Oryctolagus cuniculus: one gene and its partners. The protein of the gene in region 1 interacts with the protein of each later gene in a biochemical or structural test. Links are inferred from orthologs where the notes say so. Each region holds a gene or a part of one and is shown in the gene's direction. Other genes may lie near its edges. The genes, in order: RALBP1, SYNJ2BP, ras-related protein Ral-A-like, DLG4 and DLG1.

The links.
Region 2: the proteins of RALBP1 (region 1) and SYNJ2BP form a complex in vitro, tested with the Homo sapiens proteins (2 studies listed by BioGRID and IntAct, with this or other methods). The link is inferred for Oryctolagus cuniculus from reciprocal best matches to the Homo sapiens genes RALBP1 and SYNJ2BP.
Region 3: the proteins of RALBP1 (region 1) and ras-related protein Ral-A-like form a complex in vitro, tested with the Homo sapiens proteins (3 studies listed by BioGRID). The link is inferred for Oryctolagus cuniculus from reciprocal best matches to the Homo sapiens genes RALBP1 and RALA.
Region 4: the proteins of RALBP1 (region 1) and DLG4 interact in a biophysical measurement, tested with the Homo sapiens proteins (2 studies listed by IntAct, with this or other methods). The link is inferred for Oryctolagus cuniculus from reciprocal best matches to the Homo sapiens genes RALBP1 and DLG4.
Region 5: the proteins of RALBP1 (region 1) and DLG1 interact in a test that uses a peptide from one of them, tested with the Homo sapiens proteins (2 studies listed by IntAct, with this or other methods). The link is inferred for Oryctolagus cuniculus from reciprocal best matches to the Homo sapiens genes RALBP1 and DLG1.

What each region holds. Positions count from the first base shown.
Region 1 is NC_091441.1:66,675,996-66,681,837, forward strand, and holds part of RALBP1 (ralA-binding protein 1), read left to right. Parts: intron 1-1,883; coding exon 1,884-2,233; intron 2,234-4,264; coding exon 4,265-4,426; intron 4,427-5,842. UniProt on the Homo sapiens protein: Multifunctional protein that functions as a downstream effector of RALA and RALB. As a GTPase-activating protein/GAP can inactivate CDC42 and RAC1 by stimulating their GTPase activity.
Region 2 is NC_091451.1:16,185,329-16,191,735, reverse strand, and holds the start of SYNJ2BP (synaptojanin-2-binding protein), read left to right. Parts: upstream 1-2,473; 5' UTR 2,474-2,596; coding exon 2,597-2,660; intron 2,661-6,407. UniProt on the Homo sapiens protein: Regulates endocytosis of activin type 2 receptor kinases through the Ral/RALBP1-dependent pathway and may be involved in suppression of activin-induced signal transduction.
Region 3 is NC_091443.1:114,066,710-114,073,252, forward strand, and holds ras-related protein Ral-A-like, read left to right. Parts: upstream 1-2,631; 5' UTR 2,632-2,769; coding exon 2,770-3,390; 3' UTR 3,391-5,256; downstream 5,257-6,543. UniProt on the Homo sapiens protein: Multifunctional GTPase involved in a variety of cellular processes including gene expression, cell migration, cell proliferation, oncogenic transformation and membrane trafficking.
Region 4 is NC_091448.1:51,806,936-51,812,777, reverse strand, and holds part of DLG4 (disks large homolog 4), read left to right. Parts: intron 1-3,493; coding exon 3,494-3,789; intron 3,790-3,947; coding exon 3,948-4,050; intron 4,051-4,178; coding exon 4,179-4,293; intron 4,294-5,842. UniProt on the Homo sapiens protein: Postsynaptic scaffolding protein that plays a critical role in synaptogenesis and synaptic plasticity by providing a platform for the postsynaptic clustering of crucial synaptic proteins.
Region 5 is NC_091435.1:83,521,905-83,527,746, reverse strand, and holds part of DLG1 (disks large homolog 1), read left to right. Parts: intron 1-643; coding exon 644-745; intron 746-1,726; coding exon 1,727-1,899; intron 1,900-5,741; coding exon 5,742-5,842. UniProt on the Homo sapiens protein: Essential multidomain scaffolding protein required for normal development. Recruits channels, receptors and signaling molecules to discrete plasma membrane domains in polarized cells.

The sequences.
Region 1 (5,842 bases):
ATCACCATTGCCTCCAGGGTGTGCGTTAGCAGGAAGCTGGAATCAGAAGCAAAGCTGGGACTCAAACCCAGGTACTCTAGTAGGGTATGCCGCCTCAAATGCTTGCCTCTTAATTCAGATTTTAAAACTAATATGAGAGACAGTTTCACTGGTTTTATATATTTTCCGTGTCCACGTTTAATTATATCTTTTACATTAAGATATGTCTTTAAACTCACTCACTCTCTTTGGAGTGTCCAGTTTGTAGAATGCAAACATTTTGATAATTTCAGAGTAACAAGAAACCAAATACACACACTTGTGCAATTTGCTGGGTAGGTGTTGTAGGGGGGAAAGGTAAATATCAACAAAGTGTATTCACGGGGAGGGTACTACAAAAAGTTTGTGGAAATGAAGTTTAAGGATGGTGCAAGTTTTTCATGATCTTTTGGAAGATCTCGCCTATATGAGAGAGGGAATTTTCATCAAGAATTGTTCATCACATTTTACTACATTGCCATAAATGTAAGAAAACAGGGTTATTTTCTAACTTTCTCAAAGATTATGCAACAATAAGATTCATATTGCTATTGCTTTTATGTTTGTCAGTGTGTGCAAGTAACAGATTTATTGTAATACCATTAAGAGATTTTCATGTAGGATAAGAAATGCCAAAACCCAAATGTAAGTATTTTATTTAAGGTGATGTTCACTGTTAGAAACTCTCAGCCTTAATTTCAGGCTAGTCCCAAATAACTGGTCTAAAGTATTAAAAATCAGAAAAAGTTACTTAGTACTCATTTGAGCAGTCACTGCCAGTAAATTATAATGAAGACTATAGTCTTTTTTTTTTTTTTTTTAAAGAATTATTTATTTTTTTGAGAGGCAGAAGTAGAGGGGGAGGGGGAGGTCTTGTCTTCCATCTGGTGGTTCACTCCCCAGATGGCTGCAATGGCCGGAGCTGTGCCTGTTGGGAGCCAGGAGCTTCTTCCGAGTCTCCCACACAGGTGCAGGAGCCCAAGGATTTGGGCCATTACTGCCTTCCCAGGCCATACCAGAGAGCTGGATCAGAAATGGAGCAGCTGGGATTTGAACCATTGTCCATATGGAATGCTGGCACTGCGGATGGCGGCCACAGTGCTGGCCCCAAAGACATAATGTTTGAAAAGTATTCACTTTGTGTTAAGAGTTTCTTACTGTCCAACGAGAAAAGTAAAACAATTTGACTTTGGAAACCAAAACTTCATCTAATTTTTTTTGAAACACAAACTTAAAACTTTTTTTGTTCCAGTTCTGTTCAGATTAACACTGAAAGAATTCTAAATTTAAAGTAAAAATTAGATGGAGATTATTGGATAATTCTGAGTTTGTTTAGGCAGCTAACTCACCTTTCACATTTACAGTATAATTTTTACGTATAAAAAAATTTACCCACAAATTTGGGAATGTTTTCATGTGCACTGAGTTTCATCTTGTGTTGTCAGTCATGTGGCTAGTTAGAAAAAACAGTTGTCTGCCTAAATAGCGCAAGACTTGTGCCTAGATTGTAGTTTAATTTTTCCCTAATTTTTTACCTAACTACCTTTTAAGTTAAGATTTTTTTTCCTTCCTGAATCCTTTGATATATTTGCTTAAAATATGTCTGTGATTGCTGTGAATATTTTTTCGGCTATCATGTGGCTTTTGGTTAAATTTACCCTCAAAGTGTGGTCTTTTACAGGGCTATATTTGCAGAGGAATTGTCTGAGCCTCATGCAGATAAAAAATTCACAGTGAGAGGTTTGTTATTGGTCAGGCAGGTGCTCAGATCTTTCCAGCTGGGGTGGGTGTAGTGGCTGAGAAAGCTGTGTATTTGATTTGCTTTTCTTGGTATTCTCTCTCCTCAATTATTTGAATGTTTCAAGGAATTAAATCAAAGGTAGATGAGCTAAAAGCAGCCTACGACCGAGAGGAGTCTCCAAACTTGGAAGAATATGAGCCCAATACTGTCGCCAGTTTGCTGAAGCAGTATTTACGAGACCTTCCAGAGAATCTGCTTACCAAAGAGCTAATGCCCCGATTTGAAGAGGCCTGTGGGAGGACCAGTGAGGGTGAGAAAGTGCAGGAGTTCCAGCGCCTGCTCAAGGAGCTGCCGGAGTGTAACCACCTTCTGATTTCCTGGCTCATCGTGCACATGGACCATGTCATTGCCAAGGAGCTGGAGACCAAGATGAACATACAGAACATCTCCATAGTGCTCAGCCCAACTGTCCAGGTACGAGTTCCTCTCTCCACTGCCCCCGCTGGGCCTGGGGAGGTGGAGACATTTGCTGTTGCTGAGTCGCCATGAGAACCTGGCAGCCAGAGCGGGTACATATGGTGTAGCTTGATTACAGCTCTTTTTTTTCTTCACGCCATCAGTGGTGTGGACAGGGAAGGTCATGAGCCCCTCTATGAGATGAGGACCGTGCCGTTCTTCCCAGGGGGTTAGCACCCAGTTCCCAGTGACTGGTCACGGTGGAGGGGGAGCCAGTGGTTCCTGCAGTTACAGAGCTCATTTACATAATTCAGAGGGTTCCGTCATTTCATCAGAGCATTACTGCTTCATGAATACAAACATGGGTCAAACTCAGGCACAGAGGGGCCTGTCACTAATTTGTTTCGTCAAGGATTTGAGCCGAGGGTTTCATTTCTGAAAGAGGAGTCTACAGAGACATAGGATAGGCTCTTCACCTGAGGAAGTGCCCTCTGGGAAACTGTCCTTTTACAACGTAAGCACCTGACCGTCCTTTAGTGCAGCTCTGTTGCTGCTGGCATACGGTGTGTATTTTCCTTTGATTAGACTTGCTGATACTTTACCCAGGCCGAGAAAAAGACCCGGGTCGTAGGCTTTGTCTTAATCCACTTTTGACCATAGCACATTTTCTCAGGATCTGCCATTGCAAATGAAATCCTCATTAACTTCTTGATCAAATAAGTGAATGTTGGACTCCTTGGTGCCCAACTCACTGTTGTACAAGTGTGGTTTTTTTACTGATTGGTGTATTTTGGATACCAAATGTTCCTCAAATTTCAATTTGATCATTTGTGTTAGGGTTTTAGGATCTGTTAAATGTCACATTGTTACATAATATTACTATAATATTATGACAGTGTCATAGAAGGGTCAAACTGTTGTAAATTATATTAATTTTCCAGCAGTCTCCTGTCCTGGTCTAGCATGTGATCATCATGTTAGGTTGCTGCTGTGGTGTGCCCAGGAGGCCTTCCTGTCTGGAGGGAGGGCTCAGCCTCAACAGCTGTGCACCTGCAATGCTCTCACTTTCCTCCTCCACCTCAGTAGATGCACTCGTGATTATCAAAAGAACTCAAAATAGGGGTGGGTGTTCGGCCTAGTGGTTACGCTGCTGTTTGGGACACCCTAATCTCACATTATAGTGCCAGCTCTGTTCCCTTTTGCAGCTTCCTGCTAGTGCATCTCTGGGAAGCAGCAGTACTTGAGTACCTGAAACCCACATGGGAGACCTCAGTTGAGTTCTCAGCCTCTGGTCTCAGCCCTGGCTGGGCCATTGTGGGCATTTGTGGAGGGAACCAGCAGAGAAGAGCACTCTATCTGTCTCTCTTTTGCCGCTAAAAAAAAAAAAAATTTTTTTTTTAGAAAGGTCTCAAACTGAAAACTAAAAACATAAGGTTCTTTAAAAAAATCAGTTAATATTGTAGTGATAGAAAACAACAAATAGCTTTCAGTGTCTGCTTCATTTTCTTGGCTTTTTAAAAATTCCTTCAATTCCTTTGGTGCTTGAGTACATGATTTAACATGGATTTTGCCTTTTTCTCCTTGAATTGGCCATTAATTAGCGAAGCCTTCCTTGTCACTCCTGAGGAGGACTTCTTCTTTTTTGTTTTTCTTTTTATTTGAAAGAGTGACAGTGACAGTGGTAGGGAGACAGAGAGTGAGTGTGTTTTCATCTGCTGGTTCACTCCCTGAATGCCTGCAGACAGCCAGAGCTGAGCCAGGCCCAAACCAGGAGCCATCCCAGTCTCCCACGCGGTTGCAGAAACCAAATATTTGGGCCATCATCTGCTGCTTCCCAGGTGCATCAGTAGGAAATTGGATCAGAAAGGGAGGTAGGACTTGATCCCATGTGTTCTGCCATGGGATGTGGGCATCCCAAGTGGTGCCTAACCCACTGCACCACAACAGCCCATCTTGAAGATAATTGTCATTCACTGTGTGACAGACACAAATGGAAGTAAAATGACAATTTTAATTGTTTTTCTACAAGTCTTTTTGTTTTCCTCCTAGATCAGCAATCGTGTCCTGTATGTGCTTTTCACACATGTGCAAGAGCTCTTTGGAAATGTGGTGCTGAAGCAAGTGACGAAACCTCTGCGGTGGTCTAACATGGCCACGATGCCCACACTGCCGGAGACCCAGGCGGGCATCAAAGAGGAGATCAGGAGACAGGTTTGCACCCTTGCCTCGCCCCTTGCCCTCCAGCCTGCCTTTATGCCGGCTGCTGAGGGGGAGGGTCAGCTCTTGTTTGTTCATCTATTTACTTATTATCAGGCATGTCTTCATGGCACACTGAAGTCAGAAATTTCTATCTTGCACTGTTTCATGTCAAATAAGTCAGGATATCATGGTGGAAAGAGCACAGGTTTTGGATACAAAAGGCTGGGCTTTAAATTCCTGCTCTGCTCCTAGTTAGCTAACTTGCTTCGTCTCTTATGGTCTTGGTGTTCTCACTTGACTGATGTGAAGCATATTGAATATGAGATAATGCATGAAAAGGGCTCAGCACACTAGTACACAGCACCAAAGTGTTTGCTTATCTGGACGAGGTTGCTCTCATTTAGTCATGTCTTAAAGATAAGAATACGGAAAGTCAGGGGAGGTGAGAAAACTTTAGCACATGATTACTAAGCTGTAGAACCAAGACTTGAGTCTAAATCTTAGACTTTTCCACTTGTGACTTAGCTGTAAGAAACTGTGCTGTGAGACAGGCACCGCTTGGGTATTCTCTGTCAGAGTGCCTGGGATCCGGTCCTACCTCCACTTCCAACCCAGCTTCCTACTAGTGCACCTGGGAGGCAGTCAATGATGACCCAAGTACTTGGATTCCTGCTACCCACATAGGAGGCTCAGATGGAGTTCCTGGCTCCTTGCTTTTGACACTACCCTGCCATGGCTGTTGTGGGCATTTGAGGAGTAAACCAGTGTATGGAAGTTCTCTGTCTCTCCCCCTCTCTCTTGTCACTCTGCCTTTCAAATAGGTAATTTTAAAAAAAATTTTTTTTAAGTTATTATTTATTTTTTTTTGAGTGATAGTGTTAACAGACAGAGAGAGGGAGAAACAGAGAGAAAAGTCCTGCATCCCCTGGTTTGCTCCCTAAATAAATGGCCACAAAGGCTGGAGCTGGGCAGATCCAAAGGCAGGAGCCGGAGCTTCTTCGCAGTCTCCCACATGGGTGCAAGGGCCCAAGCACTTGGGCCATCTTCTACTGCTTTCCCAGGCCATAGCAGGAAGCTGAATTGGAAGAGGAGCAGCCAGGACACGAACCCAGAACCCATATGGGATGCTGGCACCACAGGCAGAGGCTTAGCCTACTGTGCTACAGTGCTGACCCCTAAATAAATAATCTTTAAAAAACACAGGAAAAAAATGCCATGCTGTGTGTGTGTGTGTGTGTGTGTGTGAGAGAGAGAGAGAGAGAGAGAGAGAAATTGAATAAGAAATTCAAGACTAAATAAGAAATGTGTTTTTATTTACTTGCATGCATATCATCAAATCTCTGCTTGCCTCTCTTCCCTTATCTGCCCTGAACTTCCATTCCTTACTAGTTGATGATGTAGGAGTGAGGGTGTGAATTAGCTCCTACT
Region 2 (6,407 bases), on another chromosome or scaffold:
CCAGCTTTCATTTGTAACACGGTTTGTAGCACTGGAAGAAAAGGATTCTGTGATTGTTGAAGTGAATTGTTATAACTGTAAAGAGATGATAAAATATTGAAAAACATTTTCTAAATGCATAGCACATGGTTAATTTGAGCTTCTGTACACTACAGTATGTTCCATTTTCATTCAGTTTGTTTATTTGCTCCTGGCTTGCAACCAGCCCAGCTCTGGCCATCATGACCATTTGTGGAGTTAACTAGCAGATGGAAGATCTTTCTGTGTTTCTCCCTCTGTCTATAACTCTGCCTCTCAAATAAATAAAATATTTTTATTAAAATCATTGGGAAGAAATTTGGACATGGAAATGTGTGCACAAAGGAAGAACCATGTGAAGACAAGAAAATATGATAATCTGCAAGTCAAGGAAAGAAGCCTTGGAGAAAAGTACTTCCTGTACCTTGACATTGCACTTCTGGCCTCCAGAAATGTGAGAAAATAAATTTCTGCTATTTAAGCCACTCAGTCTATGGTATTTGTTATGGTAACCCTAGCAAATTAATATAATCTGATTAGATGTAATCATCTAAGAAAGCATAGAAGACATAAAATATGCAGGAGTTTGAAACCAAAGGGACCAGTTACAGGGCAGCAAGCTGGAACAAATTCTACATTAAAGGAGAGGTAGATAGGTCATAAATGCAATCATATCCATAAATTAGCCATCACAGAAGCTGACAGAATAGTGAAATAATGGGAGGTGGCAGATAAGAGATTAGAAAGACAAGGTGAATGTATAACATGAAGTGTGTAAATATACAGTAAGGTATGAGTAAATGTGAGGCAAGATTTCCACTAATCTTGTAATGGTGGACTGACCTTGTCATCAAGATCTATACTTTCTGCACACCTCAAGGGCACAGAACCATAAACAAAAAGACTAATTTAGTGTCACTTCTGCCAGTGGCCAATGGTCCCCAATATCCATTCTCCCATTTTTAGTTAATAATAACAACCCTAATTTTTTTTTAGTTAGCACATTTCCATCCCACTAAAACATGGCATATTCTATGTCTCTCTCATAGTTAAATATAATCATGTAATAGGCTTCTATTCAAGGAGATACAAGAAATATATGAAACTTCCAATAGGTTCTCTTTGCCATTTCATTCCCTTCTTGAAATGTGAATATGAAGGCTGAAGTTCCAAAAACCATCGTAACCATCTTGGGCCATGAAGTAAAGGCCACACTCTAAGGATGAGAACTGAAGGGGTTATAGAAAGATGAAAGGAATCTGATTCCTTGGTGACTGAGGAGCTCCTCTATTAGCCTTTGACCATCCATCTCTAGTTCTTTACTGTGAATGAAGTACACTTCCATCTTAGCCTAATACATATAGAATTAAGTGTGTATCACTGCTCTAATCTTCCATCCTTAGCCTATTTTTCCCAGTAGCATCAATTTGTAGACTTTGCCCCACTCTCTATTCCTTAAATTTGAATGTTTATGTATATATATATATATCTTCCTTTTAAAAAATAAAAGATTTATTTATTTGAAAGGCAGAGTTACACAGAGAGAGTGAGAGGTCTTCCATCCGCTGGTTCACTGCCCAAATGTCCACAACAGCCAGAGCTGGGCCAATCCAAAGCCTGGAGCCAGTAGCTTCTTCCAGGTCTCCCACACAGGTGCAGTACCACTGGGTACTGCTTTCCCAGGCCACACCAGAGAGCTGGAACTTGAAGTAATGCCCATATAGAATGAGGACACTGCAGGCGGCCACTTTACCCATCAGGACACAGCACCAGCCCCTTAAATTTCTTAAAATTAAATAAGGCTTTTGTCAGCAACAATCCAGGAATCTTTTACTTAAGGTCCTGGGAACCATCTCTTCCCAATGTTAATATCAGGGAAAACAGTGCTCCTATCTCCTCTTACTATGGAAGTTAACCCAAGTGGTTTACACTAATCTTTACGCAACAGCTTGTCATACAGAGAGCAAAGTATTACTTTTCCTTTGCTAACCTGTATTAACTAACACAGAAGGCCACCCCAAAGGTGAACCATCAGAGAGTGGATAACAAATGGTGTTGTCAAGTCCTCTATGTAAGGACAAGCATGTTATGGTTTGTACCTACTTGGCTTATACGAGATTTTTCATTTTGGCAATCTCATCAATGGATTGCCTGTAACGTCCATCCCAGTCTAGTTTGATGCTCACAGAATAACAAAATTTTCTTTTCTATATTTGTGGAAATTTTGAGATGCCAAGATTCCTTTTAGATTTTTCCTCAGCAATATCAATTTCTTTACGTCCACTACCTTAACTAGCCTCCCTCCACCCCAACCTTACTTTTCCCAAGTACTTTCGCCGGTCAATAACTTGCGGCTTGCTGACCTCACAGTTTTCTCGGAACACTCAACGAGAGAACACAACCGATCGGCTGTGAGAACCACGACTCCCAGCATTCCGAGCGCTCTGAGCGCGGCGCACTTCCTCTTCCGGCCCGGAGGCTGCGCGAACCGGAAGTGCTGTTCTTAGACCGCAGCGCGGAGATTGATTCACCTTCACCTGGGCAGAGCCCCAGCTGAACCGAATAGGAGCGGTAAAACATGAACGGAAGAGTGGATTACTTAATCACCGAGGAAGAAATCAATCTTACTAGAGGACCCTCAGGTATGTGCGGAGCGGGCTGTCTTTGGGAGTAGGGGACTTGAGGTGTGCCTTTGCAGAGCAGACCCTCTTTTTGTTGCGCCGGATTCACCTGGCCTCAGAGTAGGCAGGCCCCAACGTAGGAGGTTAGGAATGTTGAAAGAATATATTGATATCCATCATTGGCTAGATGACGGGTCGGATTACAACACGTATTTCTAATCTGGAAAGATTTCTTTTTGCTCATGGTGCTAGAGAAGCCTAGAATAAAACCCGCTGTTTAGCCAGCATTCCGTGGACACACTCTTCCTTCTATTACCTGGTCTCTCCTTGTTCCTTGGAGGATCGTTTAGCCAAATTGGGAACGTAAACTATGTGACCGCTATATTCAAAAAGCTGTACCTATGGAATTTGTATTTATTAAATAAAACGATTCTTAAAAAAACAAAAAAAAACAATGTGAACTCTAAATAAATGCACAGATGTTCTGGTGCCAGGATTCCTTCCTCATTTCTGAGAAATTAGTATATAGTGTCAACTAGACTGTTAAAGCAGGAAGACGCTTTAGAGATCTGTTACAGGAGTTTCCAAACTTGGTTCTGCTACAAAACTATCCAGGCTTTGTTTTTGTTTTTGCTTTTTTATGCTAGTATAAAATTAGAATGCTGATTTCTAGTTCTCATTTCTAGAGATTTGGATTCAATACGAATTTGTTTTTAACAACTTACATGATTCTGATACAGTCAGATCCTTACACCTTCTGTACTCCCCCCTCCCCCAGATATTCCTTCCCTAGACTGAGCTGTTGACATTGCTACTCACTGCCTGCCTTGGACTTGGTTGGCTTTTTTTTTTTTAGCAGTTGTTGAGTTTATTAAGAGCTTTAACCATGGAATTGTACTATCTAGGCACAAAGCTTGTTATCTAACCGCTTACTGGTTCTTTGGTGTATTTTTTTCCACTGAGTGACATTGGTGCCTTAGTTGCTCATCTGTTAATTGGAGGTGATTATAGAATACAATATATAGTTTTTGAGAATGAAATTAATTAATTGATAAAACATCTAAATATATTTGTAAAATAATTAGAGCATTGTCTGACACACAGTAAGCAGTATGTATTTGCTACTACTGTTATTTTTATTGGGTGAATGGCTAGATTTGCATGGTAAATGTTATTGAAAAAGACCCTGTAGAAATCATAAGCCCCATGTGCTCCATCTAAAAATGTTTCTAAAATCCTTTTTTCTGTTCCCAGTGCCACTATCTATAATAGTTAATCACTTTTCTCATCTGGAATTTTGCAGTAGCTTAATCACCACTGACAGATTATCCTTTATAAAATATGACTTGCAGAACTACCTATATTTTGTGTCTTTCTTTTTGTTATATAAAATTGGAAGCTGGTCTTATGGAAATATAATTAAGCAGAGTAACTAAGCCCCTTGGATTCTTTCTTCCTATTTTATAAAATTTTTTTATTTCTCTTACTCAATACTTACCGACTTTAAAGCTAATATGGAAAGCTAGTTTTCAACCAGAATCTGTTTTTCTGTACCTTTCTGCCACTGGTAATTGTTTTTCATATAAGGCTAATTAAAACTGTGCTAGTTCCTTTTCTGATTGCCCTGCACTTATTTTCCCTTGCTTCTACTTTGCCTGGTCTTCCTTTAGCCTAAATATCTTGTTGTAACATTACTTTTTGTGATATTTGAGTTTGGGTTCTTGATTCTTGCTTAAGAATTTAATGTACTTGGCAGTGACATCTGCATCATTTCTAGAATCTCCCAACTAGAGCTGAGCAGAATCTTATTCTGGGCACTAAATAATTTAAATTCAGTATAATATCACTAAATCATTTTTGGCATTTGCAAAGCAGTGTTGCCTAATATTTAGTTCACCATTCACCACAACTTCTGAGTCTGTTTGTCTTGCAGATATAAAGTTCCTAGTGTTTGTATTTTTCAGAAGCATTGGAGTTAGGGCAAACTTCATGGGATTAATTAAAAGAAATTCTATCTAGCTAATATATTGCAACCAAAAGTGGATTAGTTTTTGTATTGTATGTGAGTTTATCCACAGGGTGGTTTCTTGAATTTTCCTAAACATTTTCATGTCTTAGTCACAGAGCCAGGGAACTTATGAGGAGGGTCAAACCACAACTTTAGGATTGAATATGGATAAAAACAGTTATTTGCAATTTGGTTTGTTCTATTAGCAAGGAAAGGTTTCAAGTTCCTATTTATTTCTAGAATTGGTATACTGGTATGTGATACTCTTGGTCTCAGATCTAATTCAGCTTTTCTTCATAGTGTTGTCATGAAGATAAACCACGAAGAAGTCAATAATCATCGTTAGAGTCCTCTATGTAATTTTTGTAATTCCATCGGGATCTTTCTTTCTATAGGAAGAATATGAAAAGTCTCTAACTACGTATACATTTTTTACAGTGAGCAGCATGGTTATTTGTCTTTATACAGCTTCCTACCCTAAGACCTCATCATTTAATGAAGGTAACTACAAGAAAGTGTGTACTGCTCTGCTTTTGTGCCAGTGATCTGGGATATTTCCACTGTTTATGCCCATTTTGCAAGGCAAATTAATCTGTTCCATCTAATCCTCCTTACTACAAGGAAAATTAGAACAATGAAATGAGTGTCTGAGATGGCACAAGGAAATTTGGCATGTAGCTTGCCATCTCATCTGTAACTACTTTCTCAACTGTGGAAGGAGAGACTTGGGCTAGGAGCTCCTCTTTTTTCCAAGTTAATGATTCTTTTGCCCAATCTGTGTGTTAGTCTGATTCTTGCTGTTCTGAACCAATTGGATAAAGAATTGGCAAAGACAATGATAACAATATCAAGTGCCTTCAAGGGTTGAACATTTCCATTTCATCATTTATGGAACTGCCTCTCTCTTTTTCTTTTATGGAATCCAGTTTTATTGTATTCTCCAAAGCTCCTGTCTTTTCCTTTATCACATTGAGAGTTCTTGATGTTGGAAAGAGTAGGTAGCTCTAAGAAGCTTGTCTCTAATCTAGCTTTCATTAATTTTGTCAGGTGGAGATGGTCCATAAAGGTAACCCTCCTACACAAGGGTACCAAGATTAAGATTCCTATTTTCAGGCCTAAAAACACAATGGGATTCAGCAAGTTGCTAAAATCGGTAAAGAGGGAAGAGAATCTCTGTTTTCTTCCTTTTTTTTTTTAAAGATTTATTTTATTTATTTGAAAGACAGAGTTATAGAGAGAGGTAGAGGCAGAGAGAGAGGTCTTCCATCCGCTTGTTCACTCCCCAGATGGCTGCAACAGCCGGAGCTGCGCCGATCTGAAGCCAGGAGCCAGGAGCTTTTTCCGGGTCTCCCACGTGGGTGCAGGGGCCCAAGGACTTGGGCCATCTTCTACTGCTTTCCCAGGCCATAGCAGAGAGCTGGATTGGAAGAGGAGCAGCAGGACTAGAACCGGTGCCCATATGGGATACTGGCACTTTAGGCCAGGGCGTTAACCCGCCATGCCACGGCGCTGGCCCCTTCTTCCTTTTTTTTTTTTTTTTTTCTTTTTGACAGGCAGAGTTAGACAGTGAGAAAGAGAGAAAGACAGAGAGAAAGGTCTTCCTTTTTCCGTTGGTTCACCCCCCAAGTGGCCGCTTCAGCCAGCACATTGCGACCGGCGCTGCGCTGATCTGAAGCCAGGAGCCAGGTGCTTCCTCCTGGTCTCCCATGTGGGTGCAGGGCCTAAGGACCTGGGCCATCCTCCACTGACTTCCCGGGCCA
Region 3 (6,543 bases), on another chromosome or scaffold:
GTCACAAGGAAAAAGTCACCTAAGAATTAAGTTTGAAAGAAAAATATTGAGGGCTAGAGAGCAGCCTGCTATGCAGTGCTAGGATATAGGGCTATGCAGAGAATAGGATAGGAGGTACACTCTTGGAAAAGAAGAGAAGAGAAAACCACCTGGGAAGCCCCACAACAGGAGGGGAAATAGCTTGAAATTGTGTGATGAGTGTTAACACACACCCAGAGAATAGAAGCCACAGACAGCCTGAGCTGGCAGCACTATTGAGACAGTGAGGGCAGATTTATCTACACCAATCCATGGGCATAGAGCCAGAGAGAGCATGCAGTGGGTCCAGACTGGAGCCTGGGGAGCTAGCGGTTGCTGGCAGTCACCTGAGGTCCTAGTGGAAGTAGAGGGGACAGCTGATTCAAACCAATCTCTCTAATACAAAACTCATGACCCTACCAATAGAGGGAGTAGGCATACTTTTAAACCAGTGCTACAACTCAGAAGACCACAAGCATGCACGTAACAGTTCACTGAGATGGGACAACTGGACACAGAGCTGCTAGCAGCATCAGGCAGGCTTTAAACTGGGGAACCTAGTGTGCATGTGTGATCCAGAGCTACCAATGGAGGGAATGGCCCACAGCCCTTGCTGCCTCAGAGCTTGGCAGGAAGGTGGCCTGGAAACTATGAGAGACAGAGGAGAACCTGCACCAACAGCACCCTATAATCTTGGCATCTGTGAAAGCCCTATATGCTAAGACATTAGAGCCTTTATAGCTACACAAAAAGGTGTAGGAAAGAGCTGGCTTTGGAGTTCTACCATGCCCAATGTTGGTGTTACCCCTGAAACTAGCCCCACCCTAGATCATTAACCCAAGCCTCTGGGCCACACCCACCACATGCCTCCTGGTAGTCACTGAAAGGGCAGACATTCCATGAAGTCACAGAAGCATAACCCCAAAGATAAAAACCAACACAAGAAAAAATTAAAAATCAACTCCACAAATGCCAGAAAATAGGAGCTGAAATTTAAGAAACAAGAATAAGGAAGTCACCATGACCCCCAGAGGAACATAACAACATTTAAATATTAGAATATTAAGATGAGAAGATTGAGGAAATGATAGAAGAGTAATTTAGAAAATTAATCATAGAATTACTCAAAAAAATCAGAAGCAAATCTATGAGCTAAAGAAAACCATACAAGAAATGAATGAAAACTTCTCCCAAGAAACTGAGAATATAAAGAGAAATCAAAATGAAATTTTAGAAATGAAAGAAAATGGATCACATAAAAACTGCAATGGAAAGTCTTTACAGCAGACTTGAAGAGGCAGAAGAAAGAATATTTGAATTAGAAGATGAATCTTTGAAAATCTTACAGACAAAAAAAAAAAAAAAAGAAGAAGAAGAAGAAACTAGAAAGCAATGCTGGAGGCCAGCGCCAATGCTCACTAGGCTAATCCTCTGCCTGTGGTGCCGGCACACTGGGTCCTAGTCCCGGATACTCCTCTTCCAGTCTAGCTGTCTGCTGTGGCACGGGAGGGCAGTGGAGGTTGGCCCAAGTGCTTGGGCCCTGCACCTGCATGGGAGACCAGGAGGAAGCACCTGGCTTCTGGCTTTGGATCAGTGCAGCGCCAGCTGTAGTGGCCATTTGGGGGGTGAACCAATGGAAGGAAGACCTTTCTCTCTCTCTCTCTCTCTCTCTCTCTCACTGTCTAACTCTGCCTGTCAAAGAAAAAAAAAAGAAAGAAAAGAAAGAAAACAGTGTTGGAAATCTATGGGATACTATCAAATGACCCAACATACCAGTCTTAGGAGTTCCTGAAGGAGAGGAAAGAGAAAAAGGAATTGAAAACCAATTAAATATTTACAGAAAATTTCCCCAATTTGGAGAAAGATAGAAATGTTCAAGCAGAGGAAGTATATAGAACTCCTAACATACATGACTAGAAAAGATATTCACCAATACACATTGTAGTCAAACTTTCTACAGCAAAACATAATGAAAAAATTCTAAACTGGGCAAGGGAAAAGTGACAAATCACTTTCAGAGTATCGCTAATTAGACTCACAGCTGACTTCTCATCAGGAACCCTACAGGCCAGAAGGGAATACTGAGATATAGTCCAAGTCTTAAAAGAAAAAAAACCTGCCAACCCAGAATACTGTACCCCACAAAGCTTGCATTTATGAATAAAAGTGAAATAAAGACCTTCCATAACAAACAGAAATTGAAAGAATTCATCGAAACTCGTCTAGCCTTACAGAAGATGCTTAAGGATGTGCCATACACAAAAACAAAGAAAGATAGCCATCATTATGAAAGAATGAGAAAGCAGAAAACCCCAATAGAAATACAAAATAAATCCAAAGTAAATGATATGAATATTTATGGAAAAGTGGAGGGCCAGGTCATTACTTATCAATACTCACCTGGAATGTAAATGGCCTCAATTCTCCAGTTAAAAGATACAGACTGACTGAATGGATTGAAAATCAAGACCCATCTATCTGTTACTTATAAGAAACACACTTCATCAACAAATATAAGTAAAGTAAAAGGATGAAAGTAAAAGGATGAAAAAGATAGTCTATGCTAACAAAAACCCAAAATGAGCTGGTGTTGTGATTTTAATATCAGACAAAATAGGTCACAAAGAGACAAGGGCCGAGCCCCCTCCGGCCGGAGCCAGCGCGGCCACGGCTTCAGAAGCCCGCGGGGCTGCGGACCGGCTCGAGGTGCAGATTCTTCTTAGTCCTTTGGTGGAAACTCTGCAACACAAGATGGCTGCAAATAAGCCCAAGGGTCAGAATTCTTTGGCCTTACACAAAGTCATCATGGTGGGGAGTGGTGGCGTGGGCAAGTCTGCTCTGACTCTGCAGTTCATGTATGATGAGTTTGTGGAGGACTATGAGCCCACCAAAGCAGACAGCTATCGCAAGAAAGTAGTGCTGGATGGGGAGGAAGTACAGATCGACATCTTAGATACAGCAGGGCAGGAGGACTATGCTGCCATCAGAGACAACTACTTCCGGAGCGGGGAGGGTTTCCTCTGTGTCTTCTCTATTACGGAAATGGAATCCTTTGCAGCCACAGCCGACTTCAGGGAGCAGATCCTAAGAGTAAAAGAAGATGAGAATGTTCCATTTCTGCTGGTTGGTAACAAATCAGATTTAGAAGATAAAAGGCAGGTTTCCGTAGAAGAGGCAAAGAACCGAGCGGACCAGTGGAATGTTAACTACGTGGAAACATCTGCTAAAACGCGGGCTAATGTTGACAAGGTAGTTTTTGATTTAATGAGGGAAATTCGAGCCAGAAAGATGGAAGACAGCAAAGAAAAGAATGGGAAAAAGAAGAGGAAAAGTTTAGCCAAGAGAATCAGAGAAAGATGCTGCATTTTATAATCAAAGCCCAAACTCCTTTCTTACCTTGACCATACTAATAAATATAATTTATAAGCATTGCCATTGAAGGCCCAATTGACTGAAATTACTTTAACATTTTGGAAATTGTTATGTATCACTAAAAGCATGAATTGGAACTGCACTGAAAGTCAGATTCACTTTAAAAAGAAATTAATGTGGCTTCTCCAAGAAGCAAAGTTCAGCTTATTTCATAACTGCCTACATTTATCACGGTCCTGAATGTAGCGTGTGTGTCTCTCAGGCAGTCTTTCTGGAACTGTTAAATAAAGAGGTGAGATGTGGGGTGGGGAATGGGAGGAAAGGCTACTTCCTCTGGTGTTTATTATAAAGCTTAAATTTTATATGATTTTAAAATGTCTTGGTCTACTGCCTTGAAAAATGACAATTGTGAACATGATAGTTAAACTGTACCACTTTTTTTAACCATTGTTATGCAAAATATAGAAGAAAAAGTTGTTGGCATGGTTGTTGCATATAGTTAAACTGAGAGTAATTCATCTGTGAGTCTGCATTAATTAACTGGTGATTAACTTAGAAAAGTGGTGTAAACTTGTACACGGACATTTTGGAACATGCCTTAATTTAGAAACCGAAAAATACCCAGTTTCATCATTCTGTGAGACACTGTATGCCTGGTATGGAGTACAGCTTTTGTATAGAAGGTTCTTGAGAAATAACTGTCCACTCGGAGTCTGTCCAGATGAAAACTGTGTGCCATACTCTGGTTCTTAAATAAGGTTCCAGAGCTTCTTGACTGCTTTAATAAATTGTAAGGTGGTATGAAATGAAGGGCCAGCATCTACTTGTAAGATAATTTGAGACTTTGAAGATTCAGTACCCCTTGTGTGTGAGTGAAGCCTCTTTTTTTTTTTCCTAAGATGCTGGTCCCTAGAAATCACTTTCTACGAGTGTTGAGCATATAAGTGTTACTTTTTAATCTCCTGGAATTAGGGCATAGGACAAACGTTAGCAGCACTAAGGCATTTGGCATTAGAACACTTGGGGAGAATAAGCATGCTTGCCACCTGTTTATTTCTAAACTTGTATTCCTGAGGTTTACAGTTTGGCTTTATAGAAATTATTGAGAGTATCTGTAGTCTGTTTATGTTCCTAATTAAGCACTGTGTAGCTATATCTTCCTAAAAATAACATCAAGCAATCAAACCCAGGCATAGTGCAGAAAACGTGTGTGGCACACAGAGACCACAGTGTGTCAGGCGGTGTCACTATTGTGTGATGTTGCCACTGGAAGAGTTCCGGCATGCTATTTGGATACATAATTTTGATGAGAAATACACAGACCACTGTCACTTTTCTTTTCCTGCTCAGGATGGAATTAGGACAGTTGATTTTAACAGATTTTTTTTTCTTTTTTCTTTTTAGTCAGCCCTAATTTGAACAAGTCAAGGATGTGTTCAGGCATTCCAGGTAACAGGTTGTATATGTAAGCTAACAAAACTAGACTTTTAAGGAACTCAGCTCTTTAGATACTATATCCAGCTTGTCATGTTAAATATTTGTTCCTCAAAGGTGTGAGATGTACATCTTCCATTTCATATTTTTCATAGGTTATGCCATGTGCAGAATTAAAGTTACCAATGTAATACTGGCCAGCGGGCCCAGCAGTCTCTATGTGTACTCACGCATTGCAGTCTTATTTAACCAGGGGTCCTAACCACTAACATTGTGACTTTGCTTTGAGACCTTTCCTCTCCTGGGTACTGAGGTGCTATGAAGCCAACTGACAAAGATGCATCACATGTCTTAGGCTGATGCCACTCCCCAATTCGTTTATTTGCAATTTGAGCCATTTAAAGACCAATAAACTTCCTTTTAAAAAAAAAATAGGTCACAAAGCAAGTCTCAGCAAATTCAAAATAATTGAAATCATTCCATGCACCTTCTCAAACCACAATGGAATGAAGCTAGAAACGAACTATCTCTAGAACATAATTAGACATAAGGACTGAACAGCATGCTCCAGAATGAATAGTGGGTCATAAAAGAAATCAAACAGAAATCAAAAAATTTCTGGAAACAAATGAAGATGGCAATACATTATATTGAAACCTATGAGATATGAGATACAGCAAAAGTATGTTAAGAAGGAAGTTCATAGCAATCAATGTCTACATGAAAAAACTGGAAAGGTACTAAATAAATGAGCTATCAATGCAACTCAAGGATATAGAATATCAACAACAAACCAAACCCAAAACTAGTAGGAAGAAAGAAGTAATTAAAATTAGAGAAGAAATAAAACTGATACAAAAATTACAAAAATCCATGAAAAGGAAAGCTATTTAAAAAAAAAACCAAAATTGATATACCATTGGTGCAACTGAACAAAAAAAAAGGAAAAGTCAAATCAATAAAATCAGAGATGAAAAAGGAAATATAGTAATGGATACCACAGAAATAAGAATCATCAGAAATTATTGCAAAGAGCTGTATGCCAACAACTAGAAAACCTAGAAGAAATGGATAGATTCCTAGAAAGATACACTCTACCAAAATTAAGTCATGAACTTATAGAAAACGTAAACACACCAATAACCAAAATAGAGATTGAATCAGTAATACTCTCCCAACAAAGAAACCTAAAAGGCCAGACAGCATCACTGCTGAATTCAAACAGACATTTAAAGAACTAATTTCGGCCAGTGCCACAGCTCAATAGGCTAATCGTCTGCTCTTGGCGCCAGCACACCGGGTTCTAGTCCCGGTTCTAGTCAGAGTGCCGGATTCTGTCCTGGTTGCTCCTCTTCCAGTCTAGCTCTCTGCTGTGGCACAGGAGGGCAGTGGAGGATGGCCCAAGTGCCTGGACCCTGCACCTGCATGGGAGAACAGGAGAAGCACCTGGCTCCTGGCTTCAGATCAGCACGGTGTGCCAGCTGCAGCATGTTGGCTGCAGCGGCCATTGGAGGGTGAACCAATGGAAAAGGAAGACCTTTCTCTCTGTCTCTCTCACTGTCCACTCTGCCTGTCAAAAAAAAAAAAGGAACTAATTCCAATTCTTCTCAATCTGTTCAAAAAAACTGAAAAGGATGGATCCTCTCAAACTCCTTCTGTGAAGCTTGCATCACCTTAATACCCAAACCTAGAAAAGATGCAACAAAAAGAGAGAAATAT
Region 4 (5,842 bases), on another chromosome or scaffold:
CAGTGGTGTCCCCACCCTCTCCTCTCACAACACACACACACACACACACACACACACACACACACAGAGCAGAATCGCTCTGTTGAAAATCCCTACTTTAGAGAATGCACATAGCATAGCAAGATAAGGAAAATACAAGGAGCGCATGGAAGAGAGAAACAGCTGTCCTTACTTGTAAAGTGTACTTTCTCCATCTAGATTAAAATACAAGTCATTAACTGATGGACAAAAACATGGAAAGGTGAGCGTGTGGCCCCGAGCAGAAGAGCTGTTGTGGCTCAGCAGGTTAAGCTGTTGCTGGGATCCCTGTATCCCCTCCTGGGGTGGGCCCTGCATCCCCTGCCTCATTCGCTTCTGATCCTGCTTCCTGCTGATGTGCCTGGGAAGGCAGTGGGTAATGGCCCAAGTACCCGGGGAGACTCTTTAGCTTTCTGGCTTTGGCCTGGCCCAGCCCCTGTTATTGTGAGCTTTTGGGAAGTGAGCCCGCAGAGAGCAGATACTTGTCTCTCTCTCTCTCTCTGTCACTCTGCCTTTCAAATAAGTAAATAAATCTTAAATAAAAAAAGAATGTGGCCATATGTAAGTCAATAACCAGAATTGAGCTGGCGGGTCAAGCCACCGTCTGCAGTGCCAGCTGCTCCACTTCTGATCCAGCTCCCTGCTAATGTGCCAGGGAAGGCAGTGGAGGAGGGGCCCCTTCATCCCACGTGGGAGACCCGGATGGGGCTCCTGGCTCCTGGCTTCGGCCTGGCCCAACCCTGACTATTGCAGCCATTTGAGGAATGAACCAAGATGGAAGATCTTTCTCTCTCTGCCTCTGCCTCTCCTTCTAACTCTGCCTTTCAAATACATAAATCAATCTTTAAAAAACAAAACAAAAAACAAGAATCAGTAACTTCCCAGCCATGAAAAGATGATGTGATGGGTAAGAAGATCTCATTTGCTATAGAAAACAATTCTACAAAATTCTTATAAATACAGACTTGACAAGAAATATAAGATTTCTATGAAAAAAAAATGACGAAACTTTACTGAGGCATATAAAACAATGTTTCTGGATGGAATGACTTAATATGCTACAGCTCTCAAACCTCTCCAGATTAATCTATATATTTTATGCAAATCCAAATCAGGATTTAAATGTTGTTTTTCCCCCTGAGAATTTAGCAGGTTGATTTTAAAGTTCAACTGGAAAAATATGTGTGGGAGAATAACGAAGACATTTTTGGAAAGGAGTAATGAAGTACGCCTGCCCCTACTGAATATGAAATCAGACTGTGCAATCATATTTAAGTCACATGGCAGCTCTTCTTTTTTTTCTTTTGGATTTTATTTATTTTCATTTTCACTTGAGAGAGAGAGAGAGAGAGAGAGAGAGAGCGATCTTCCATCCACCAGCCCGCACAGGACTGGAATGCAGTCCGTCTCCCGCGTGGGTGGCAGGGACACAGGTGCCTGGGTCATCACCTGTTGCCCCTCCGGATGCACATTCAGCAGGAAGCTGGATCGAAGTGGGACACCCAGAACCTGAACCAGGCACGCTGAGATAGGATGTGGGTGCCCCAAGTAACAGCTTAACTGCGTGCCAAACACCTGCCCTGGGTGGGCCCTGTTTCTAAATACCAAAACCTCCCTGAAGAAGCCTGGCCTTCTTGGGGAAAGGGGAGCCAGTTTAAAATCCTGGGCAAGGGCCGGCGCCGCGGCTCACTAGGCTAATCCTCCGCCTAGCGGCGCCGGCACACCGGGTTCTAGTCCCGGTCGGGCACCAGATTCTGTCCCGGTTGCCCCTCTTCCAGGCCAGCTCTCTGCTGTGGCCAGGGAGTGCAGTGGAGGATGGCCCAGGTGCTTGGGCCCTGCACCCCATGGGAGACCAGGAAAAGCACCTGGCTCCTGGCTCCTGCCATCGGATCAGCGCGGTGTGCCGGCCGCAGCGCGCCAGCCGCGGCGGCCATTGGAGGGTGAACCAACGGCAAAGGAAGACCTTTCTGTCTGTCTCTCTCTCACACTATCCACTCTGCCTGTCAAAAAAAAAAAAAAAAAAAAAAAAAAAAAATCCTGGGCAAGGCTGGCGCTGTGGCTCACTAGGCTAATCCTCCTCCTGTGGTGCTGGCACTCCAGGTTCTAGTCCCGGTTAGGGCGCCGGGTTCTAGTCCCGGTTGCTCCTTTTCCAGTCCAGCTCTCTGCTGTGGCCCGGGAAGGCAGTGGAGGATGGCCCTGGTGCTTGGGCCCTGCACCTGCATGGGAGACCAGGAGAAGCACCTGGCTCCTGGCTTCAGATCGGCGCAGCGCACCGGCCGTGGTGACCATTTGGGGAGTGTGGGGTGAACCAACAGAAGGAAGACCTTTCTCTCTGTCTCTCTCTCTCACTGTCTAACTCTGCCTATCAAAAAAAAAAAAAAAAAAAAAAAAAAAAAAAAAAAAAAAAGTCCTGGGCAAGAAATATCTAAGATTCACTTGACCTCCATTCTAGAAAGCAAAGGTGGTATCCAGGACTACTAGAGCATGTCAAAGACACAGGAGCCCAACTTAAGGGATTCTTCCTGGCTGTTGAATCAGAACTCCTTGAGTTAAAATTTATGGGGTCGCAATAGTGATTTAAAATATTGGGGTACCTTTGGAGGCTATAAAGGGACCCATTCATTCTGAAAATAAAGAGGGACTGTCAGACCTTTGTCTTCCCATCTCAGAGTGGTCTACGTAAGTCAGTTCTTTATAGAATTCCTGCTAACAAATGCTTCCTTGTTCCCCCACCCAAAGTAGAGTATCACCATTTTGCAAACCCTGATGAATATCTAAACCAGGCAGTGATCATCAACAGCCTTGAAAATTTAAGTGAAAGACTGGCAGGCATTTGATAGTGCATAGACCAGGTTGTCAGCCACCAACCCTGCTCGTCACTCCAACAGAGATGCAGTAGTGGTGGGGCCGTAGGGAGCGCTCAGCGCTGCCTGTGACGGATGCTGTATTTAGAAATTGAACTGGAACCTGGTTGCACCCCCAGAACCAACTGCCAGCTTACAGGAGGTGGAGGGCAGAGATGCAGGATGAAGCAGACCTTGAGGATGCAGGCAGAGGTTTCTCTGTTGGATTCCCCTGGTAGGATGTTGGACGTTCTTGCAGACAGATAGCTTGTTCAATCAGTGGTCAAGAGGGAGAGGAATTCTGTGGCTGAAGGGATGTGAGAGAGACAGCAACCAGAAGAAAACCCCCAAAGCATGGATTCCCATTAGCCTGTAGCTTCATCCCTGGCCTGCTGTGGACAAAAAGCCTTTAAATCCCTTGTTTCCCACAACCACCCCGACACCACCTGTAAGTTGCTGACCCCTGGCAGGGCCGTGTCTGACGTCCCCACGGGGGTATCCCTGGCAGGGCAGCTTCCCTTTCACCTGAGTCTGGCTCTCTGGGTTCCTGCCCAGGGGGGAAGGTGGGGCAGTGGGTGCCGTGTCCCTTCCATCCACTTCCACCTTGTCTTTCCTCCCGTGTCCGCCCTCAGCGTACTCCCAGCACCTGGACAACGAGATTAGTCACAGCAGCTACCTGGGCACCGACTACCCCACAGCCATGACCCCCACTTCCCCTCGGCGCTACTCGCCTGTGGCCAAGGACCTGCTGGGGGAGGAGGACATTCCCCGGGAGCCGAGGCGAATCGTGATCCACCGGGGCTCCACCGGCCTGGGCTTCAACATTGTGGGCGGCGAGGACGGTGAAGGCATCTTCATCTCCTTCATCCTGGCCGGGGGCCCTGCGGACCTCAGTGGGGAGCTGCGGAAGGGGGACCAGATCCTGTCGGTGAGGGGAAGCCTGCCCCGCCCCTCACCGAGCTCCTTGGGGCGGGGTGTGTGTGTGTGTGTGTGTGTGTATGTGGCTGGGCTGATCCCTACTCCATGTGGACCTGGGAAGTGCCCCCGCCCTGTCCCCAGCCACACAGCCTCTGCTCCTGCCTGCAGGTCAACGGGGTGGACCTCCGTAACGCCAGCCACGAGCAGGCCGCCATTGCCCTGAAGAATGCGGGCCAGACAGTCACGATCATCGCTCAGTATAAACCAGAAGGTACCCGGCGCGGGGCTCCCCGCCGAGGGCATCCTCAGAACTCTCCCCTGGGCTGATGGCTGTCTGGGGGCGAGGGGAGTGGCCGCAGGAGGAGGGCAGAGCTCTGGAACTGTCTGGTCCTCCCTCAGAGTACAGCCGCTTCGAGGCCAAGATCCATGACCTTCGAGAGCAGCTCATGAACAGCAGCCTGGGCTCAGGGACGGCCTCCCTGCGGAGCAACCCCAAGAGGGGGTTCTACATCAGGTCAGAGGCTCGCTGGGCCGGGCTCCGCAGGCTCCCAGGGCCGGATTCCTTTGCTCTGTGCCTGTTCCCTGTTCCCCAGCCACTCTCCCTTAGCCCTGCCTTGTTCCCCTTTCCCAACCCCGGGGCGGGCGCCCAACGTGGTGATCAAGGAGGGCTTGGCTACAGAGGTTTACATTGTCACTCCAGAAGGCAGAGTTACAGAGAGAGAGGGAGAGAGAGAGAGCCATCTTCCATCCACTGGTTCACGCCCCAAATGGCCACAACAGCCAGGGCTGGGCCGGGCTGAAGCCAGGAGCCAGGAACTTCACCTGGGTCTCCCACATGGGTATCGGAACCCAAGCACTTGGGCCATCTTTCACTGCTTTCCCAGGTCCATTAGCAAGGACCTGGATCAGGAGAGGAGCAGCCGGGACTGGAACCGGCATCCATATGGGATGCCTGGGCTGCAGACAGTGGCTTAACCTACTAGGCCACAGCACCAGCCCCAGGTTTACATTGTGAAACACAGTTGACCTCTGGGCATCCACGGAGTCAGCCCACTGTGAATCAGGAATACTTGAAAAAACCACGGTGCTGGACTTGTCCAGACTTTCATCCTGTCTTCCTTCCCCAGACGATACAATGTACGCGTGAGGTGTTTACAGTGTATTCAGTATTATAAATGATCTAGAGATGACTTAAAGACCAGAGGAGGATTGCGTAGGTTACATGCAAATAGCATTTTATGTAAGGGACTTGAACATCCAGGGATTCTGTGTCTGCGGGGCCTCCTGGAACTGACACCCTGCAGGTTGCCAGGCAGACTGTGCTCGCAGGGCGGGGAACAGGCTCTGTCTCAGGTCTCTGAGGTGCCTGCTCTCCTTGCCGGGGGACTCCCGGGCTGCCCACCATTTAACACCTCACAGCTTAATGCCTGGCATAGCAGCGCCCCCTGGCACAGCTCGAGTGTTGCCCGAGCCTCCGTCTCGGGAGAGATGGGCCACAGCGCTCTCGGCTGTCTCCTGTCTCCTCGCTGGTGCCTTGCTCTCTCCTAGGGCCCTTCCTGCTGTTGACTCCCCCTTCCCCCATGGACTCTGCAGCCCGGGTGCCCGCCAGCCCCTCTCCTCCTCTCTGATCCTGTCCACTTGCACAGCCTGGGCCGCCCCGAGTCTTGCAGGCGTCTCTCAGAGCTGTCTGCCCTGGCCTGCCCTCTTCCTGGAGGTGCCGACCTGCAGCTCTGGCCATGTGCTTTCTGGGATGTCCCATAGGCAACTCATGCTCAGCATGGCCCACACCGAGCTCGTGGTCTTTCTCCTGGGTAGTGAGGTCTCCGTCTTGCCCAAGCAGTGTTACTCCCTCTTGCTCAGTGGCATCGCCGTCCACCCAGACACCAGGCTGAGTGAGACCTGGGTCCTCTCGGCCCTCCCCTCCCTGCTGGGATCTACCCCAGGGTCTTTCAGTTCTGACTTCCGGTGGGTGCTGAACGATCCTGGGACTCTGTCCTTTCCCGTCTCATTCCGGAACTTTAGTCTGCGTCTTTGCTCTCCCAGGGAGGGTTGCTGTCCCTTCT
Region 5 (5,842 bases), on another chromosome or scaffold:
CATTTGTAATGAGATAATTCATAGAAACATCTGCTAAAATGTGCTAAATTTAATTTCTTGGAGTCAAGGTTAAACTGTTAGTGAAAAGTTTATTAAATAGCTAGTTAAACATCTTTGGTTGGGCCGGCGCCGTGGCTCACTTGGCTAATCCTCTGCCTGCGGCACCGGTACCCAGGATTCTAGTCCCGGTTGGGGCTCCAGATTCTGTCCTGGTTGCACCTCTTCCAGTCCAGCTCTCTGCTGTGGCCCGGGAGTGCAGTGGAGGATGGCCCAAGTCCTTGGGCCCTGCACCCGCAGGGGAGACCAGGAGGAGGCAGCTGGCTCCTGGCTTCAGATCAGCACAGCGTGCCGGCCACAGTGCACCGGCCGTAGCAGCCATTTGGGGGGGTGAACCAACGAAAAGGAAGACCTTTCTCTCTGTCTCTGTCCTCTCTCTCTCTCTCACTGTCTGACTCTGCCTGTCCAAAAAAAAAAAAAAAAAAAAAAAAAAAAAAAACTTTGTTTGATGATACAGTGGTGTGGAGACAGAAAAAAAAAATAAATTCTTCAAAACAATTAAGAATGTTTTTGTTCTCTGATGAAATGAAATACCTTAATTTTCATTGAATGTTTATTCCTTTTAACATGCAATTTATCTTTGTAGTTAATTATACTCGACCAGTGATCATATTGGGACCTATGAAAGACAGGATAAATGATGACTTGATCTCAGAATTTCCTGACAAATTTGGATCCTGTGTTCCTCGTGAGTAACCCAATGAAAAACTCTTATAATTATTGTTTTTATTTTCCTATCACTTTGTGTGACAAAGTAAATATAATTTTTTTTTTTTTGTTTTGTTTTGTTTTTTTGACAGGCAGAGTGGACAGTGAGAGAGAGAGACAGAGAGAAAGGTCTTCCTTTGCCGTTGGTTCACCCTCCAATGGCCGCCGCGGCTGGCGCGCTGCGGCCGGCGCACCGCGCTGATCCGATGGCAGGAGCCAGGAGCCAGGTGCTTTTCCTGGTCTCCCATGGGGTGCAGGGCCCAAGCACCTGGGCCATCCTCCACTGCACTCCCTGGCCACAGCAGAGGGCTGGCCTGGAAGAGGGGCAACCAGGACAGAATCCGGCGCCCCGACCGGGACTAGAACCCGGTGTGCCGGCGCCGCTAGGCGGAGGATTAGCCTAGTGAGCCGCGGCGCCGGCCTGTAAATATAATTTTTAACGGTTTATACCTGGGCCGGCGCCGTGGCTCAATAGGCTAATCCTCCGCCTTGCAGCGCCGGCACACCGGGTTCTAGTCCCAGTTGGGGTGCCGGATTCTGTCCCGGTTGCCCCTCTTCCAGGCCAGCTCTCTGCTGTGGCCAGGGAGTGCAGTGGAGGATGGCCCAAGTCCTTGGGCCCTGCACCCGCATGGGAGACCAGGAAAAGCGCCTGGCTCCTGCCTTCGGATCAGCGCAGTGTGCCGGCCACAGCGCGCTGGCCACGGTGGCCACTGGAAGGTGAACACACGACAAAAGGAAGACCTTTCTCTCTGTCTCTCTCTCTCACTGTCCACTCTGCCTGTCAAAAAAAAAATGGTTTATACCTAGTTATTTTATCAGTTACTGCTTCATCCTCCATATTATTGTACTTTTCTAGATTTAAATTAAACTCTGGAACTTTATAAAACAATTATTTCAGTAGAAAATGAGTTTATTATGTTTTTTAATATTAAACACTTCCCTGAGTTCTTTTCTGTTAAAGATACAACTAGACCAAAACGAGATTATGAGGTAGACGGAAGAGATTATCATTTTGTGACTTCAAGAGAACAGATGGAAAAAGATATCCAGGAACATAAATTCATTGAAGCTGGCCAGTATAACAACCACCTGTATGGAACAAGTGTTCAGTCTGTGCGAGAAGTAGCAGAAAAGGTAAGCATCACATGAATGCAGAATATGCTGTTCATCAGATATGCCTTTGACAATATGAAAGAATTACAGAAACTTCTAGTTCTTACTTAAAAGGATACAAGATGGATGATAGATTGATTACTTTTAATTCATTGAACTAAGTAATTTTAGGTGGTTTAGAAAAAGACATACAAGTTTACATACAAGATAAAATAGACCAAAAAAAAAAAAAATGGGAGTAGAAAGAATAGCACAAATCTAAGAGGGGCAGTTGTTATTTTAAGACCTTTTGCTAGAGACAGACCTGTCTTTGGTCCTAGCTTTCCAGCATTTCATGTAATTGAGGAACTAAGATCTGCAGTATCCAACAATAAAAATTATTGAAATGTTCAAGATAAATGTAGTTGCTGCTGGTATTGAGATTAGACAAAAGTTTCTCCTCTGAGTCTTCATTTAAAAGACAATATAGGCCGGCGCCGAGGCTCACTAGGCTAATCCTCCGCCTAGCGGCGCCGGCACACCGGGTTCTAGTCCCGGTCGGGGCACCAGATTCTGTCCCGGTTGCCCCTCTTCCAGGCCAGCTCTCTGCTGTGGCCAGGGAGTACAGTGGAGGATGGCCCAAGTGCTTGGGCCCTGCACCCCATGGGAGACCAGGAAAAGCACCTGGCTCCTGGCTCCTGCCATCGGATCAGCGCGGTGCGCCAGCCGCGGCGGCCATTGGAGGGTGAACCAACGGCAAAAGGAAGACCTTTCTCTCTGTCTCTCTCTCTCACTGTCCACTCTGCCTGTCAAAAAAAAAAAAAAAAAAAAAAAAAGACAATATAGCCAGCGCTGCAGCTCACTTGGCTAATCCTCCACCTGCAGCACCGGCACACCGGGTTCTAGTCCCGGTCAGGGCGCCAGATTCTGTCCTGGTTGCCCCTCTTCCAGGCCAGCTCTCTGTTGTGGCCCGGGAAGGCAGTGGAGGATGGCACAAGTCTTTGGGCCTTGCACCTGCATGGGAGACCAGGAAGAAGCACATGGCTCCTGGCTTTGGATTGGTGCAGTGCGCTGGCCGTAGTGGCCATTTGGGGGGTGAACCAACAGAAGGAAGACCTTTCTCTCTCTGTCTCTCTCCTTCACTAACTCTGCCTGTTAAAAACAAACAAACAAACAAACAAACAAAAAAACACCATATATATATGGTGTTCGATGGTGTGGCATAGCAGATAAAGCCACTGCCTGCAACGCCAGCATCCTATTTAGGTGCTAGTTCAAGTCCTGGCTGCTCCACTGCCAATCCAGCTCCTTGCTGCTGCGCCTGGGAAAGAAATGGAAGATGGCCCAAGTGCTTGGGCCCCTGTACCCACATGGAAGACCCGGAAGAAGCTCCTGGCTTGGATTGGCGCAGCTTCTGCTGTTGCCGCCATTTAGGGAGTGAACCAGTAGATGGAAGTTCTCTCTCTCTCGTGTGTGTATATATATATATATATGTGTGTGTGTGTGTGTGTGTGTGTATACATATATATATGTGTGTGTATGTGTATATACACATATATGTGTGTGTGTGTATAATCTGACTTTCAAATAAATACATGTTTTTTAAAAATTACAAAGACAGTATTGGACAGGTGTTGTGGGACAGTAGGTTATGCCACTAGTTGGGGATGCCCACATTCCATACCAGAGTGCCCAGGATCAAGTTCCACCTCCACTTCCAATCCAGCTTCCTGCTGTTGTGCCTGGGAGGCAACAATGATGACTCAAGTACTTGAGTCTCTGGCATTCATGTAGGAAACCCAGATGAAGCTCTGGGCTCCTGGTTTCAACCTGTTGCACCTTGGCTGTTTTGGGCATTTGGAGAGTGAACCAGCATGTGGAAAATCTCTCTCATAGCTCTGCCTGTCAAATAAATAAAAACGAATAAACATTAAAAAAAAGAATCTGACTTGAACAACAATATTAACATTTAAAAAAAAAAACAGGAATTCACAAACAACAGCAATAGACTTTCTGAAAGCATCTTTTGTAGTCATCTGGTGAAATGGTGACACTGGGTTAAAAGTTTTATAGTGAAGCTAAATCAATGTCATAGTGCTGTTTCTTAAATCTTTGGGCCTAGAAAATAAACATTGTATACCTTTAAAACTTAGAGTTTAAGTCTCAATTATGAAATAGCTGTAACAAAACATAAAGCAGTAATAAGTTTCCCATATATAAATGCTACTTTTCTAAAAGAAGTTTGTTCTAATTTAACATTTTTAGAAAAAGTGCATATGTCCCAGAAGTGAAGACAAGGACTTGAGAAAATGGAAATTTTTAGGTAGTTGGGATATAAATGAACATAACTTCCTTTGACAACAGTTGGGCAATACCTAATAAGTGATTCAGAAATTCTACTTATTCATGTCTAGGTATACATATATCCACAGTAGCACCTTATAATGTGAAAAATTGGAATCAACAGAAGGGAATGGATAGTCAACCCTCATTTATTCATGCAGTGGGATATAACAGCCAGAGTGCATAAATTTGTATATCTAGTAGTTAGGTGTATCCACATTGCTAAGTCTCAAAATTATAATAGTGAATTATAAAGTTTGCTTATGTAAATGTTAGAAAGTATAAAACAGCCAATAATAATATATGGATGCTTGTTTGTAAACAAAAACATGCATGAGAATAATACAGCTACTATCTCTTGGTTTCTTTTTAGAAGGGAAGAGAAGGAAATTAAAACCAGCTTTGGAGAATGTTTTATTTCTTGAAAAATAAAATTTTTAATTTCAAAACTCTTAGCCTAGATAAAAGATAGATATTATCCAGACTTCAGATTAGTAATAGGAAAGTAAACAGCAAATCCAAGTAAACTGTTTCATGTGCAAACCTTGTAGAGAGCAAAAGCAATCTCAAGAAAGAAAAAAAAAGAATGGAAGAGATAAGAGGACAGCAAACATAAGTGGTCTAGTCGGTGAATTTAAGCATGTCAGAAAAGTTATTTAAAGTCAGAATTGAGATTTCCAGATGCCAATTTATGATAAAAGTTTTGCCAGTCCACATAAAATGAGAAGGAGAATAATGGTAGTGAGGTTTTACAAATTTAAACTTACTCAGTTTAGGATATTTACCCATTTTTCTAGGATCTTTTACCTTCTGCTGATCATATATTTTATGAAATTATGGTTATGATGAGAGTAGTTTGGGGTCTTTTTTTAAATGCTCTGTCTTACAAAATTAAAGATCAGCACCCTATATTGGTTGCCATTGAGAGAATACTAATCTTTGAACACCAGGAGTGTGAGAACTGTTTATAACTTTCTGAAATCTTACTTCAGGCTGGCGCCGCGGCTCACTAGGCTAATCCTCCGCCTTGTGGCGCTGGCACACCTGGTTCTAGTCCCTGTCGGGGCACCGGATTCTGTCCCGGTTCCCCCTCTTCCAGGCCAGCTCTCTGCTCTGGCCCGGGAGTGCAGTGGAGGATGGCCCAAGTGCTTGGGCCCTGCACCCCATGGGAGACCAGGAGAAGCACCTGGCTCCTGGCTTCGGATCAGCGCAGTGCGCCGGCCGCAGTGCACCAGCCATGGCGGCCATTGGAGGGTGAACCAACGGCAAAAGGAAGACCTTTCTCTCTGTCTCTCTCTCTCACTGTCCACTCTGCCTGTCCAAAAAAAAAAAAAAAAAAAAAATTCTTACTTCAATAGTGGAAAACTATTTACCCATAAATTTTATATTTTACTTCCCATCTAAAATTTGCTAACAGGATTGACAGATTTGCTTACAGTCAGTGAGTAAGCATACTCTAGTTATTGTGCCTGTTGGAAATGTACCTTTGATGTAAGTGAAGAGAAATGGTTCACTTGGTTTACTGCTTTACTCAATTTTAGGGCAAACACTGTATCCTCGATGTGTCCGGAAACGCCATAAAGAGATTGCAGATTGCACAACTTTACCCGATCTCCATTTTTATTAAACCCAAATCCATGGA